2 linked regions of the Canis lupus familiaris genome follow. The protein of the gene in region 1 interacts with the protein of each later gene in a pairwise test. Links are inferred from orthologs where the notes say so. Each region holds a gene or a part of one and is shown on either strand. Other genes may lie near its edges.

What was found.
Region 2: the proteins of OTX1 (region 1) and VWC2L interact in binary tests that used the Homo sapiens proteins (3 or more experiments, as listed by UniProt). The two-hybrid records come from large-scale screens. The link is inferred for Canis lupus familiaris from reciprocal best matches to the Homo sapiens genes OTX1 and VWC2L.

Annotation. Positions count from the first base shown.
Region 1 is NC_049231.1:64,118,409-64,125,897, reverse strand, and holds the start of OTX1 (homeobox protein OTX1), read right to left. Parts: upstream 4,888-7,489; 5' UTR 4,776-4,887; intron 4,410-4,775; 5' UTR 4,341-4,409; intron 3,130-4,340; exon of another isoform or gene 2,728-3,129; 5' UTR 2,618-2,727; coding exon 2,521-2,617; intron 1,629-2,520; coding exon 1,477-1,628; intron 307-1,476; coding exon 1-306. UniProt on the Homo sapiens protein: Probably plays a role in the development of the brain and the sense organs. Can bind to the BCD target sequence (BTS): 5'-TCTAATCCC-3'.
Region 2 is NC_049258.1:21,553,574-21,561,155, reverse strand, and holds the start of VWC2L (von Willebrand factor C domain-containing protein 2-like), read right to left. Parts: upstream 5,031-7,582; 5' UTR 3,861-5,030; intron 1,543-3,860; 5' UTR 1,463-1,542; coding exon 1,073-1,462; intron 1-1,072. Other genes in the region: SPAG16 (sperm-associated antigen 16 protein), read right to left, coding at 5,346-5,521.

The DNA.
Region 1 (7,489 bases):
CGGGGAGATGGAGGCCGGACTCCAGATGGACGAGGCGGCCGGCGTGCTCAGCGACGACGGGACGGCCACCGCCGGGTTCCCGCCCAGGCCTGCCGCCGCGGCCGCCGCCGGGTTGGCGGAGGCGCCGGATCCCGAGCTGGAGGACGAGGCGGAGCTGGACACGGCGGGCGGCGTGAACTGGCCGCTGCTTTCCGAGCCCGAGCTCTCCCGCACCGGGGACGACTTCTTCTTGGCCGGGCGGCTCTTGGTCCCGCTCCCGCTCTGCTGCTGCTGGCGGCATTTGGCGCGGCGGTTCTTGAACCAGACCTGCAGCGGCCCGAGGAGGGAAGAGCGGGTCAGGGGGCCCCCGGGGCTCGCGCGCCGCCCGGCCGGGCCAGCCCCCGCCCCGCGGGCCCAGCTCCGCCACCCGCCCCATCCTCCTGGTGGAAGATCCTCCGGGAAGTGGGGCTGTGCACCTCCCCACCCCCAGCGCGAGTCCGCCCCCGGGCGGGACGTCCGCGTCCGTCCAGCCAGAAGTCCAGGCATCTCTGAGCTGCTGCTGCTGCTGCTGCTGGCCGCTCCCCAACAGCCCCGCGCACGCGGGGAGGCCCGTCCTCTCTGAACAGGGCGCACGACGCGGCGGAGGCGCGAGGGGCACCGCGGGGCGGGGCGGGGCGGCCACCGCGTCCGAGGGGGAGCCAGCCGGGGCCCGGAGGCCCCGGCCTGGGCCAGGCGGGAATTTGGGCGGCGGCGGCGGCAGGCGGGGAGGCCGACCAGAGGCCGTGCCCTCGGGGCGCCCCGGGAGCAAGCCCGAGCACAGTTTCGTTGGGCGTCTTGGCTCCAAGTGGGGAGCCAAGTGGCACAAAGTTCTCACGCCCCTTGGAGGGCCCCGGCACAGGGCTAGGGCGTTCTCCCGGTTCTTTCCCGGGCCTCGAGGGCAAGGGAGGCGAGATAAAAGGCCCTTGAGGAGAGGTCGGAGTTATAATCCAAACAGGACTTTTATCGCAAAAAATCAGAAGCAAGGCCCGTAGCCGGGTTTTGCGTTTGGCATCCTCTCGGGGCGAAGGGAGCGTCTCCCCAAACCTGCGCCACCCCCGGGGGCGCGCCCCGACAGGGCGCCAGGCTCCGGCCAAGCCCCTCTCGGCCGCCTCCAGGATCCCGGGGACGCGGGGCGAGGGCGGAGGCCCAACTCCGCACCCCGGGCGCCTGGCGCTCGGGAGCCCCGCCTGCCCTCCCGACAGCCTGAGGACTCCCAGCTGCAGGCGGCCGCGGGAGGCGGCCAGGGCAGGGCTCGGAGCGGGCCCTCCAGCGGGGCCCCTCGCCGGGCCGGGCCGGGCCGGGCGCTAGGGGGAGTCGGAGAGGGCCTGGCCAGCCGCGGGCCCGCCCCACCGCCCCACCGCCCCACCGCCCCACCGCCCGCCGCCCGCCGCCGTCCCGACCCTCCCCGGCCCGCTGCCCCAGGGCCCGGCCCGGCTCCGGAGCCCTGGGCACGCGCACCTGGACTCTGGACTCCGGCAGGTTGATCTTGAGCGCCACCTCCTCGCGCATGAAGATGTCAGGGTAGCGAGTCTTGGCGAAGAGCGCCTCCAGCACGTCCAGCTGCGAGCGTGTAAAGGTGGTGCGCTCCCGCCGCTGCTTCCGCGGGGTGGCTGAGGGGACACGCGGGGGCGCCTCGGGTCAGCGGTGGCCACGCGGACCGCGCTAGACGACGCAGACAGGCCCCCGGCAGGGCTCTGTGCGAGGCCGTTGCAAAAGCAAGCCAAGCTCCAAGCGAAAGAAAACTCCCCCAGGAGGCCGAGCCTGAGAGGCCACAGGTGGGAGAAAGTGCATGTGTGCGACTGGGAACCAGTGTCGTCAAGACTCCAGAATTGCCCCCTTCCCTGCCTCTCGGAGGTTAAGAAAGGAAAAGAAGTTATACAATCCCCCTTCTTTCACCACCTCCCCCCCAACACATCCCCTGGCTGGAGGATGGGAAAGGGGTGCGCAGACACACCACCTGGAAAACGCTTTCCGAGGGAACAAGTGGAGATGAAGGAGCGGGAGCTGGGGCGGGGAGGAGGCGGCTCAAGCCTTCCACATCCACGGTGCAAAAGTTGGTGCAGACAGCGGATGTAGAGGACAATTCAATTAGGGAGGGAGAGCCCCTCTTCTTCGTCTCAGCCAGTCACTTCTCATAAGAAAAGCCTGGCCCTTCCTGTCAGGGCCTAGAGAGTGTCCAAATCTCTCTTTCAACATTGGGAGGAAAGGAATAGATTCACACACACACACACACCCCAAAAAAGCCACCCATGAGAAACGAATCCTTGGGTAAGTGGGCCCTGTGCTGGTGGTGGGACCACAAGAGACAGATTGCCCAGCTTCACTGGCCTGGCCTGCCTCATGCACCCGCCACTGCCCTGTGAGCCTGCGGCGTGCAGAGCACTGCAGGCAGACCCGCCATCCCACTCCCCGGGCCTGCTCAGACACCGAGTGTGCGCTCAAACTCAAGAGTCTGGGCGTCCCCAAGATTTGCAGGGGCTGGGGGCAGGGACTGGTGCTCACCCGGGTAGCCCACGGAAGGGTGCAGGAGGTCCATGGCTGGCCCGGCCAGGCCCAGCCCGTTCATGCCATATGGGGGTTGTTTGAGGTAAGACATCATGCTAACAGCCGGGTGGAGGCGCCCGGACGGATCCAGGGGGCCGGGGCCAGGCGCAGTGCGGGGCTCCCACTGCGCAGTCCTTCAAACTCTGCTGCGTCGGGGGGCCCGGCCTATGGAGACAGGAGACACAGGTAAACAGTGACTGGGAGCCATCTCGGTTTCCTGGTCTCGTCGGAGGCGAGCAGCCGGGGGCTGGGGAGGGCACGCAGGCCTGCGGAACTCGGAAGGGCGGTCAGCTTGGCTCTACAAGGCCTTGGCCGGAAGACCACAGCTTCTTTGAAAAGTCAGCTTTTCTGGATCGTCATCGCCTCTTCTCAGGCGTGGAATGGGTAAAAGACCCTCGTAGGGCGTCGCTAGGAGTGCGGAGAGGCTAAAAGCAGGGCCAAGCTGGAAAGTGAGGGCCTAAAACGCCCGGCGTGCAAGGTCCCAAGTCTAGGCCAAATTCTGGTCGGGTAGGAGCCGGCCTCCATACTGCAAGAGCAAACGTTTACTCGGCGCCAGTGAGGCAGGCTGCCCAGGGCACCAGAGGTTGTTTCGTTTCGTTTCAAAATGTTTTTGAAAAGCGGGATGAAAAGGTGGAGGGTCGGGGAGAGCTAAGGTGAGGCGCCGCGGGAGGCTAGCGGCACCTGGGCCTCTCCGGGTGGCAGGGCCCACTTAGGGTGCGCTCCTGCAAGGGTGTCCCCGCTGGGTCTGGGCCCCCGAGCCCACGGCCACCCTGCCAGTTGACCTCCCTGCGCCCGGCCGCGGAGAGGCCGCTCCCCGGGGAGCCCAGCACACCTGGGCCACAGTAACAGGCCCGGGCCCACGGCGGCCAGGAGACGCGGACGCGGGGGCCGCGGGGGCTCCAGGGCGCGGCGGGGGGTCAGGGGCGCCCAGGCCCCGCCGCAGGCCCCCTCCCCGACAACGCCCGCCGCCGCTGCTTTCTGCCCGCTGCTGGCTGCTGGCTGCTGGCTGCGGACAGCGCGGCCCGGGCGGAGGCCGGAGGGCGGCCCGCCCGGCGCCCCGAGGGGTCGCGGATCGGGGAGGCCCGGGCGCCGCGCCCCCGCGTGCTCCCGGCCTATCCCGCCCGCCCGGCCCGCGGCCCAGGACCCTGCCCAGGGCCGACGCGACTAGGCCTCGGCGGCGCAGCTCGGCTGACCCGGGCCGCCAGGTCGAAGCCCGGCTCCCCGCTCGCCTCCCCCCGCGGCGCCGTTCGCAGGGGCAGGGAGTGGAGCTGGGGGGCGCGGCCGCGGCCCCGGGGGACCCTGCGCTGCACCCCGCGTCGCGGGGGATTCAAAGCAGGCCCGGGGCCGGGCTGGGGAGTTCGGGGAGGGCGGGGAGAGCCGGGGCGGCCTCCCGCGCCCCTCCTCCAGGCCCCACGGTCTGGGCTGGCGGACCCCAGCTGGCAGGGAAAGGGGGGCGAAGGAGGGGCAGCCCGGGGCTCCGGGGCCCAGAGAGAGGGGGGCACGCCGGGCCGCCGCGCCTCTGCCGAGCTGCAGCGTGAGTTTCCAGAGACTTTCTTCAAACTTAGCACTTGAGCTCGCTGACTTCGGAGGAGGCGGGGGAGGGGCCGCGGGGCCGCGGCGGGGATCGGGGGTCCTCCGCGCGCCGGGAGGGGAGCCAGGCCGCCCCCCAGCCCCGCCCACCTGCCGGGGACCTGGGAAGCGGGGACCGGCTCGGGGGCCGGGGTGGGAGCAGGCGGCGCGCTCCCGGAGCCAGGGCGGCCCCGCGGCTGTCTGCTTACCTGCCCTCGGCTGCCGGGGCCGCTCACCATCTACCTCGCGCCCTCGCGCAGGCCCGCGGGGCAGCCGACCTGCAAAGACAGAGGGCGCGGGGGTTACTCGCCGGGCCGGACGGCGGGTCCCGGCTCCCCGGGGTTCTTGCTTTCCCCAACTTCCCTCCTGCCTTCTCTTTCTTCCCGGTGGCTTTGTGCGGGTCCCTCCAGGTTTCACTTTATTGCACAGACACTTTGTTTGCAAAGCCCTACGCGTCCCCGAGACACCACGTCGCCCGGGACCGCGCCGAGGGGCCGCAAGGGGTAGGCGGGTGGGGGGTGAGAGGGGCAGCGTTGGGGGGCGGCTCGAGGCTGCAGTTGCAGTCCGGGTGCAGCGCGGAGGCGGCGGGGGCCAGGGGAGTCCCGCCGAGGCACTTTGCGAACTAAATAAATCAAGCGATTTACCTTGTCGGAGTGGCTTGTCTTGCCGGGTTGTTTAGGTGATTGGAAATGTAGCCTGATGAAGATTGATCACCTTTCTACTGCCCTCCCCGGGTATGTGAACGCGAGGTGAGTGCGTAACGGGGCCGTGCTGCCAATCCCCGGCCCCGCGCGGGCTGAGTGACAGCGAGCCGGGCAATGGCAGCCCGAGCCGGGGGTTACCTCCGCGCGCCCCCGCCCTCCTCCGCCCCCTGCACCCCGCCCTCGGCGCCCGCCCGCCCCGCCCCGGGCGCGCGCTAACTCCAGGGCTGGGCTGACAAACGCGGCGCAGAGCGAGGCGAGGACAGCGGCCGCAGCGCCAGGGCCCGTCGGCGGAGGGGGGACGCGGGGCCCGAGGCCGGCCCGGGGGGGGGGGTCCCCGCCCTTCGCTCGCCCTGTCGGCGCCCGCGAGGGAGTGGCGGAGAGGAGACGCGGGGCCGGGGAACCGGTTCCCGGGCTCTCCCGCGCGCCACCCGGCTCGGCGGCGGGGCTGTGCGCTCGAGGAGTCCGGGGCCGCGGGCTGCAGGGCAGTGGGGGCCCCCCCGGCTCCCCCCGGGCGGCGCCCCGGGCCCCAGCGGCCGCCTTCCCCGCGCCGCCACCTGCGGACGGACGCGGCGGGCGCGGGGGCCGGGGGCGGCGGGGGGCGCGGACCCCGCCTGGCCCGCTCGGCCCCCGCGGGGGAGGCCCCGCCGCTCCCCCGCTGCTGCGCGTCCCCCGGGGCCCGCGCGCCCGTCCTCGGCGCGTCTCCCCGGGCGTTGGAGCCCCGCGGCTCCTGCCCCCTTAAGGCGCCCGCTCTCCTCCTGCCCCGGGAGGTCTTAACGGGAAACTTTCCCTTCCGCACCCCGCCTCCTTCGCGGGCGCCCTGCACCGGGGGCGGGGGCGGGGGCGGGGGCGGCAGACGCGGCCACAGACCCCCGGCCTCCGTCTCCTCCTCCCGCGCCGCAGAGGGAGCCTCCTCGGGGCCGTCTCCCCGGATTGTTCGTACTGGCGAAGCCCATTTCCCAGCCGAACTAACTTCTGGAGCCCGCGTACCTGCTGGACGTCTCCAGGCGCCCCCCGCCCCCACCCCCCCAAAAGGGTTTCGCCCCAACCTTGAGCCAGGCGGTTCCTCTTAGGTGGCACCTCCTTCTGAGTATTAGGCACCACTTGGGTCCCTTTCGAGGAATTCCTCCCCGGCTTCCCTAGTCCCCCCTCCCCTCCATCCCAACAGGCGGAGTGAAAAGTTTGAGCAGGAGTGAGCGCGAGGGCGAGTCCGGGAGCCGCGGGGCGCCGCGCCGTGGGAGCGCCCGCCGCCGGGCCGCGAGGTCGGGCCCCCGAGCGGACGGGGCTGGGGCGAGGAGGAGGAGGAGGAGAGGAAGGGGGCGCCCCGCAGTCAAAAGGGGCCGAGGCCGCCGCTCATCAAAGTACTTCCCCCTCCCCCCAAGCGACACTTTCCTTTGGAGCCCGAATAAAATACGGTAACAGAATATGATGGAGGGCACACTGTTTCCTTAACTGCTTCTCAAAGGACCCGGGAGATCTTCTTAGGACCTTTAATAAGGCTTTGGTCGGTTCTTTTGTTGATCTCTCAAAATCAACTCCTTCTAATTGAAGTTGGAGCTGAAAGCGAGCTAATGTTCAAAGAAAGTGGCCGCCAGACCAACGAAATTACATTTTTTTTTTGTTGGGGGGGGGGTACGATGAGGGAACATCTAATCAAAGGGGCAGAGGAGGAGGGGTGGGAGTGGGCGAGTATGAAGGAGAAAAGGAGGTTTTACAAGATCCTTCTCTGGTTCACAAAAGTCAGCGACACGGGCGCTTCTCTCCAGAACAAAGACACCGCAGCCCATTCACAAAAGGGAAAGAAAGACACACACACACACACACACACACACACACACACACACAGAGGGAGGAGAGAGAGAGAGAGAGAGAAAACAATAAAAGAACGAGAGAAAAGGGAGAAAAAAAAAAAAAACCACAGGAAAGAAAAAGCTTTAAGAGGAAAAGAAACTGCGCAGAGCGCAGCGCTGACCCGGGCGGGGACACAAGTCCTAGGTCCTCTGAGGCCCCCTGGGCGCAGCCCCCGCGACGGGCAGGCGCCTGGAGGAAGGAGTGAGGCGCACCCGCCTGCGGTTCTGGGGAGAGGCGCGGGCAGGAGGGCCCCGGGTTCGCGGGGAGGTCCCCGCGGGCGTCCCCGGCCCAGCCCGGCCCGGCCCGGCCCGGCCTGCGCGCCCCGGGCCCCGGCGCAGCCCTCCGGGCCCCGGCCGCGTGCCCCGGTCGCGGCCCCGCCACCCGTCGCGCGCCTGCCCCGTCCGGGCCCCGAGCCGCCGGCGGCTGCGGCGGGGCGGCCGTGCGCGCAGGAATGTGCCCGGCGGTCCCCAGGGCCCGCCTCGCGGGCGGCCGGCGCTCTCGCTCCAGATGCTGCCGCGGTCTCGGGGAAGTTGGGACGTATCGAGTAGCACAGGTCCCCCCCCGCGCGCCCCTCTAATGAGCATATTTATCTAATCCCAAATTGCAGGAGAATTTTCTTAATGCTCAGCCCGTAAAACCCCGGGATTAAGAAAAGAAAGAGAGGGAGAGGGAGGAGTGCAGGGAGGAAGAGGGACTGGGATGAAAGTTTCTTGCACGCGGCGCGGAGGACGGCGGCGGCCGTCGGTCGCCAGGCAAGTGTCCAGGTGGGAGACGCCGGGCCAGGAGCGGCGGCCGCAGGCGGGGAG
Region 2 (7,582 bases), on another chromosome or scaffold:
GATCATGATCAGTTTAAACCTTTCCCCCCCCACATATTGATTTCTTCCAGCATTTGACTCTTGTAAAGAAGGGAGTTGGGTTAGTGCTAACAACTGAACATTCTTCTGAACAGTGACACTGAAAACTAGCTATATCTTCTTTTGCTTATAAGATTCTGAACACCTTTCACAGAACTTGGTTAGATGAAATGAAAATTTTTCATATCAAGCCATCAGTATGACAGCCACTCCAAGGCACAAACTGCCATTACATTTAAGGGGAACATTCTGATACAATAATTTATACCCTCAGGGTTCAGATCTGGTTTGTAGGACATCCTAATTACAACTAGCTGTTTGAGAAAAGAGACTCAAAGCAGAGATAAAAATGAACTCCAAATTACTTGAAAATATGACATAAGCAAAAAAGAAAGATTATGAAATACTATGGAAGCTGGAATAATAGTACCTCCCCCTTTTTAATACCTTTGACAACAAACTAGGACAAAAATTCAGTTCTCTTTGGGGGCCTGCAAGTAAAAAAATCTAATGAGCAGAGAACAGAATGGGGATGGTGCTCTATAACAAGTAGGCCCAATGCATATTCTTAATATATAGACCACAGCTCAGAAGTGTGTCTCCTTAGCACTTGCATTTCCACATACTAAATAGAATTCTAGACCATAGTTAAATGACTCCCAATACAGGCTTATAAGCCACACACACGTAAAAAGATCTTACAATATTTAAACATTAGCTTTAAATAAACACATGATCTATAAACATAATTATTTCCCTCAGAAAACATATTTTGTAATAACACAAAGGAAATGATTGAGGGCAATAAAAGATGTTAAGCATGCCCAGAATACTTCTGAAGGAGGAGGTTATCGTGAAACCTTCAAGACACCTATCAACAAGCCAGTTGGTTCTTTGTTGACCACAGCGGTACGCAGGCTAACTGAAATCACAATACCGTAAGTTAAGGGGTAATTTAAAAGTAACTTTTTCCAACTCTAATTTTAATGTAGTAATCTATGAAATACATGGTGTGAAAGATTAGTATTGAATGAATATGGAGGGTAACTCATACCTTAAATTCCTCCAAGATTTTGTAATTTTTCCCATGATATTCACAAAAGTTTTTCACTTCTTTGCACTCAGGGCAGCATCCATTGTGTTCCACTTTAGTACACTTTGGGTGAATTTTAGGGCATTCTGGCTGGTCACAAACAGGTCCATCCAGAGCACAGACACATGGACAGTTGGAATGCCCTGGGAAAAAGCGTTCTCCCAACTTGTATACAAAGCCGCTGTCATCCACACACCCTTTCCCTCGATAGTCATCAAAGATCAGATTGTCATTACTGGAGGTCTGGTCACCTTCATCAGCAGGGTAGTCTTCATGACTGATGGCAGCAGAGGTGACTGATCCAAGGATGACCAACAGAAGTATGCAAGCTTCATGAATATGAAGAGCCATCCCCCTCCTCAAAGGCTTCTGGATGTGCTCCTAATATTAAATATACTCAGCTCCTTCCATGGGAATACAAGAGGGGTAGGCTGAAAATAAATATTTAAAAAGAAGAATTTGACATATATAGAGAGAATATGGATTTACGTAAGCCCTTGTTCTTAATCTGTTTATTTGGGATCTGTCTGGAAGACACTCAGACCTCAAATAGACTAAGTTCATGCAACTATCTATGCTTCTTATGAAGTTTGGGGAGTTTATTCTTGGCAATACATGCATTAAAATTTGTCCTTTATTCCACCTAGGAATCGTAAGCTCAGATTTACCCTCTGAATTTCCAAGGTTTGGCTTTGTTTAAATTGTAGAAGTGGTTTTACTGAGCCTCAAAAGGTGATTACAGTAGTTACAGATGGCTCAAGAATGTTGGAATCCACATTCTCTATTATTCCTTAAGCTGGATTAGTCAGTGATAGAATGTATATGATATAATTATCTGTATAAAAACTAAGAGATTAGTGAGAAAACATCTACTTCTAAAAGAAAGAGAAGAGACCAATAGTCTAATATAAATTATAATTGAGATGAGCTAGTATAAAGGTCTTCCTACTTCACTCCCATAACTGGAGAATAGCAGTGGTCTCAAATGTATTTCTTGTTTCAGAAACCATAAATATGGATTTTGGAACATAGCTATTAAGAAAACTAGTACAACCATTCCACAGTGAATAAGAGAAAAATTTAAATAATAGTGCAAGAGAACTCCATGTATTGAAAAGGATTTACTAAAAATAAATTTATTTGTATCATTGTCCACAACTTTATTTTACTCAGGAAGTAAGCTCCTAGTGGGCAGGAAAGATGCACCTGAGATTTTTTTTTAATGGCAATTTGAATCTAGTATTTATGGAATGCTATTTGAATTAATTACTTCAATGTAAAATATATACCATTCACATAGTCTTGAGGATATACCTTTCTTTTTGACATCCCAAACATATTTGCATTTGGTCAATTTGCACAAAAATGCCAATACAAAACTATTTATTGAAATTCCTTAAAGTAATGATGAGGTGTTGCCTTTCACAGAAAATATGTATGATTAATTTAGTGACATTGACTCTTAAAAGCTTCACTTAGTGTTAGTGCTTGGTGTGGAGTGTTAGTAGTGGGCTCTTATTTAAATGTTTAGGGTGACTAACTCATACAAAGGCTTTGGGGAAACTGTGACTTTAGACACTAATAGGTAAGAAAAAGTGTTGTCGGATAGTTCATTTATCTATCTAAATGCTATTGGCTTTATGCCAATGTTGCTCAGACTGTATATAGGACATTCTCAGATAATTTATAAATGATATTTGTTGGTATATTTTCAGAATATAATGAGTAATGATAAATCATCCCTTTTCAGTATAGCATATACAGGTGATCATTTAAAAACATGATAAAGATGACATAAGGATACTTCATCAACTATTATATTTGCATTTTAAGTAAGATATGCAAATTATCTTATGCAAAGTAATAGTAAAATGGAAGGTAGTATATTTATGCCCTCCTTTAAGAGAAAACTGCTCTCTCATATTAGAATTCCTTTTGGGTAGGTAATGATAAAAGAGAGAGATTTATTTTAAAATATGTCAAAAATAATGAGTCATGACAGAACAAAAAAAATGCAAACCTATAATTCTACTTGAGAAGCTGGAAGCTCCCTTTGACAAAGCATTTTTTTCTCTTAAATTACTACAGAGGCCACAAACATAACAGAAGCTTCTGAAAAAAGCATAAATATATATTTTACTGATTAAACCATGCATTTATACATCTCTCACATATTTAGAAAGTTTATCTTGGAAGAAAGGAATCTATTGTGCTTCCTTATAGTATTCCAGCAGTGTCTGCCAATACATGCAAGATAAGCCATATAAAAGACACATATCATTCTGCTTCAAAAGGACATAGACAGAAATTGATCTCTTTGCAAGCTACAGGTAGGCATTAATATATCAAGTTGTGATAAATGTAAACTTAAAGATAAAAATAGGGGTATAATGTCTACTTTATATAAACCTTAAACATGCTTTTATTATATGAAATACATTTTTAAATCTGCATGGAGAAAACAAGGTTTTCTTTTCAATATAACAAAGTTCTTAGGCTATTAAAAAATCCCTTTTCATAATAGAGCTGCTCTAGTGTAGTTAAAAACACTATTTAAGAGAAGAAATATTAGAGAAATGAAATAAAATGTTTATCTGAAGATTTTTATTAAGTAAGCAAACACTGCTAAACTGAGGACCACTTTCCAGCTAAACTTTCCCCCCTCCCTATATTTTTACATATGATTTAAAATAACTGCATCTATTTCTTTGAGAAAACAAACATAACTCATGTCATAAGATACACTTACCTAATCACTCTGGAGGTTAATGGTGGTGGTGGGAGTCATAGACCAATACGAACTAAAACATCAGGTATGTTTTAGGAAAGCAGTTCCTCTTTAGTTATCCAAAGAATACATTTTCAGGCACGAATTAAAGGTAATCCATTCTTTCTACCTCCCATTTCAAAACACAGTCAAGAAGCAGTCTCCCGCCCTTCCAGAGAGAAACACAGCAGACACACATAAGAAATATGCTTTGGACCTGTCTTCAGAATTCAAAGCAAGAAGCAATGCTGGTCCTGTAGAAATCCAGACCCCAGTAGCAGAATCATGTTGAACTTATTTTTAGCATTTTCTCAGATCCTTCTATGAAATTTACCGGCTGATTACGCCTCCTCCACACATGAGTTCACTTACACAGTGTTTGGTACGGCAGTAGAGGTGATTTGGCTAGGCTCTGAGGATCACAAACAGCAATAGCATGCTGTAGCTTAAAGCCCACTCCGCTGGCAGTACCATCAGCATCATCCACAATATGTTGCTTGAATCCCCTCTTACACACCAGAAAATACTAACTGTGGACGTGAAGGAAAGGAGCAACTTTAGCTGGGTTTCTGCATCACTGAGAGCAGTTTGCAGACTGCTGATTTGGAGCTCATTCGCCGGCAGCCGGGAATTCCTCAGCACCACGGACAGCGCCAACAACTGGCTTCTGAGCCCAGCTCGGTGAAATCCGAAATCCGGAGCTGCTTCTTTAGACCAGGCTAGAGTGTTCTCTAAAGCAGTCGCACTTTATACAGCCGACGCATGCATTAGGAGTGGGAAAGACATTTTACACACGAGATACTTATTGGCATTGAAATTACAACAAAAAATACAAAACATTGTAATTATACCTAATGCATTCTTAGATGGGCTGCAGAGATGAAAGTTCTGGAAGAGCATTGCATTTAGATTTAAGCCATCTGCAGTCTTGATGATTATTAATAGATAAAGCATGATCATTGTCAAAGAATCTGTGAACATGTACGCTCCTCGATTCTATTTGACCCTTTTGTTGCAGAAAGACTTTCTCCATGCTATATGATTAAACTTCAGGTCTTCCTGCAGCTTGGATTCGATTTAAAAAAAAAAAAAAAAAGTAGCCCTGTTCTCCTGCAGTTTGTTCTCTAACATTCAAAATCAATCTCCTGTAATTCATCTAGTCTGTCATTAGGCGTCATTGTAAAGCTGTTTCTTTCAAACCCCTAGCAAAGATGCTCTGTCTCTAAATTCTTATCAAAATGAAGAAAAAGAGAACCAGACACAAATGAGCAAAAAGTTGTGTTTTTTTTTATTTTTTTATTGGTGTCAGTATGAGCACTAAAATACATGTCCAAAGCATGTTTTAAAGCAAATTGTAAATGTTACCTGCTGGCATATTTAACCAGATACTTCCTGGTTTGAGACTGACTACCCAAGGTATTTTCAAGCCTTAAAGGGAATGCCGTCCGCAGTGGGATATGCTGACCATCAAGACCACGTTCGAACAGTGCCGTCAGAGCCTCCGGAAAACAAATACTCTCCGTCATGAGAAAACACGACTGTGTGAGCCTCACTATCATGGCCCATCAATTTGTGGATTTGCCCTGATTTAAGATCTAGCAAATGGATAACCCCACTGCCACTCGCCTGAGCTAAAACTCGACCTGAGAAAGAGGGAGGGAGGGAGGGAGAAAGGGAGGGAGGGGGAGAGGGAGAGGAAGAAAGAGAGAGGAGAGAGAGAGAGTGAGAGAGAATATCAAAGTTTAATTTCAGGCAGTCATAGTTTATAAGCAATGAAATACACAGTTTTGTCTCAAATGTAATTTAACAGACTCATATTAGATGTCAGTCATTAAATATGAGCTAACTCATTTGTATAGGAAATAATTCCAGGCAAAATTAAGACATGTCAATAAGATTGTAAAATTTTAAAATGAGGAAGTGAAACCTAATGTCCCACCCACTTTATCAAATGCCCTCCTAATCTCCTTATATTTGGGATTAATAAATAATTTTGAGAAAATGAGTGTGAAAGCAATGAAGCGATGCAGGTTTGTTTTTCAAGTGAATTATTTGTGAAAAGATGTCCAAAGCATAGGTTCAAAATCTCTGTCCCTATATAATGGATAATTTACATTTTAAATTTTGCATTATACTTTAACTTGTAATTATGCTAAATCTTTATTTAGGTATAATAATATACATTTATTATGACACTTATGAACCTTTTTTGGAGTTGAAGTGAAAATAAATACCTCCAGTTCAAGGATGACTTAGGCTTTTTTACTCTAATTTAAAATTCAAAATTCTGTTAAACTAAGTTTATATTACATAAGAGCTAAATATAGCACAGAGTATTCTCATAATTTTTATACTGTATAATTTTTAGTGAATAATTTCCTTCAAGTTAAAAACATATCAGCAGCCCAATTCTAATGCTTTTATTAAAGAAGTCTGGTAACAAACTATCAGGGAATTTAGAGGTAAGTAAAACTAATGAAATACGTTTACATAAAGTCAGTATGTGGGGTAAATAAGTATGATACTAGGGCTATCTATGGGATTATCTAATCATACTTAGAAGGCATATTATCATTCCAGTAATGACATTTAAAATTGATTAAACAGTATATGTCAATTGATTTTGTACCTGATGTGAATAGTTGCATATAATCTTTACAAGAATATAATGATAAAATAATATTAACTTCATTATATGGATGAACAAAGAGAGGTTTAGAAAGGTGAAGTATCTTGCTCAAGAGGAGGTATATTCGGTATGAAGGGAACTATCATTAAATCACAATCACTTTAAATAGCCTGGGCTTTAAGTCATTGTGTTTTCACATCCAGCATAGGATTGTTATCAATGATGCCTTATTGATAGATTTTAAGTAGGTGATATATTGTGAAAATAAAATTTGCCTGTTTCATAGTAAAAAATTCTTTAATGATATTGCCATAAAAGTCACAGTGAAATATTTAATCACAAATTATACACCAAAATGTCATGAATATTTTAAAAACAGAAAAGTTATCAAAGTAAAAAATAAAAAAAATTTTAAAAAAGTTATAAAAGTAAAGCTAACCATGATAAATATAGTCTATTTACAAACCTTTATAACTACTGGGCTTCTTCATCTAGAACAAAACCTGACACAGCAAAGATCCTTAGGATGGATTAGAGTGTCCAAAGAAGCAGATGTGAATATTTATTATAAACCTTCTTCTACTAAGTCTTTGCTGACAGAGGCATTACATATGGATTCCACTTCTAGTCTCACTCTATAGACAATTGCTGTTTGTGACTTTCCTAAGAGTCAAACAAGTAACTTTTTTCTTGTGGTCTTCGTGCAACAGATAGGAAGGAGGTAAATGTTATTTTCTATTTTTGAAAGGAAACAGAATCAAGGCTCATAAAGAAAAAGAAGAGATTTAGCTTTAAACCATTATCTTTTGTTGAAGTCAAATCTGTAAAAATCATAATTGGAAACACTTATGAAGGTTCTTGGTAATTTCTGAAAGTCCAATAAAATAGAGAATATATACTAGAACCTAATGATGGGATTATATAATTCAGCATCATGCCTCAGGTATTTCAAAAATTTGTCTTCTATCGAACAGATTTTAGTAACTTTATGGTGAAGTTTTTTATGTTTACTTGAACTAACTCATTTACAGAAGATTGCAAGATAATGATTATGTATATAATAACTTATTCCTAA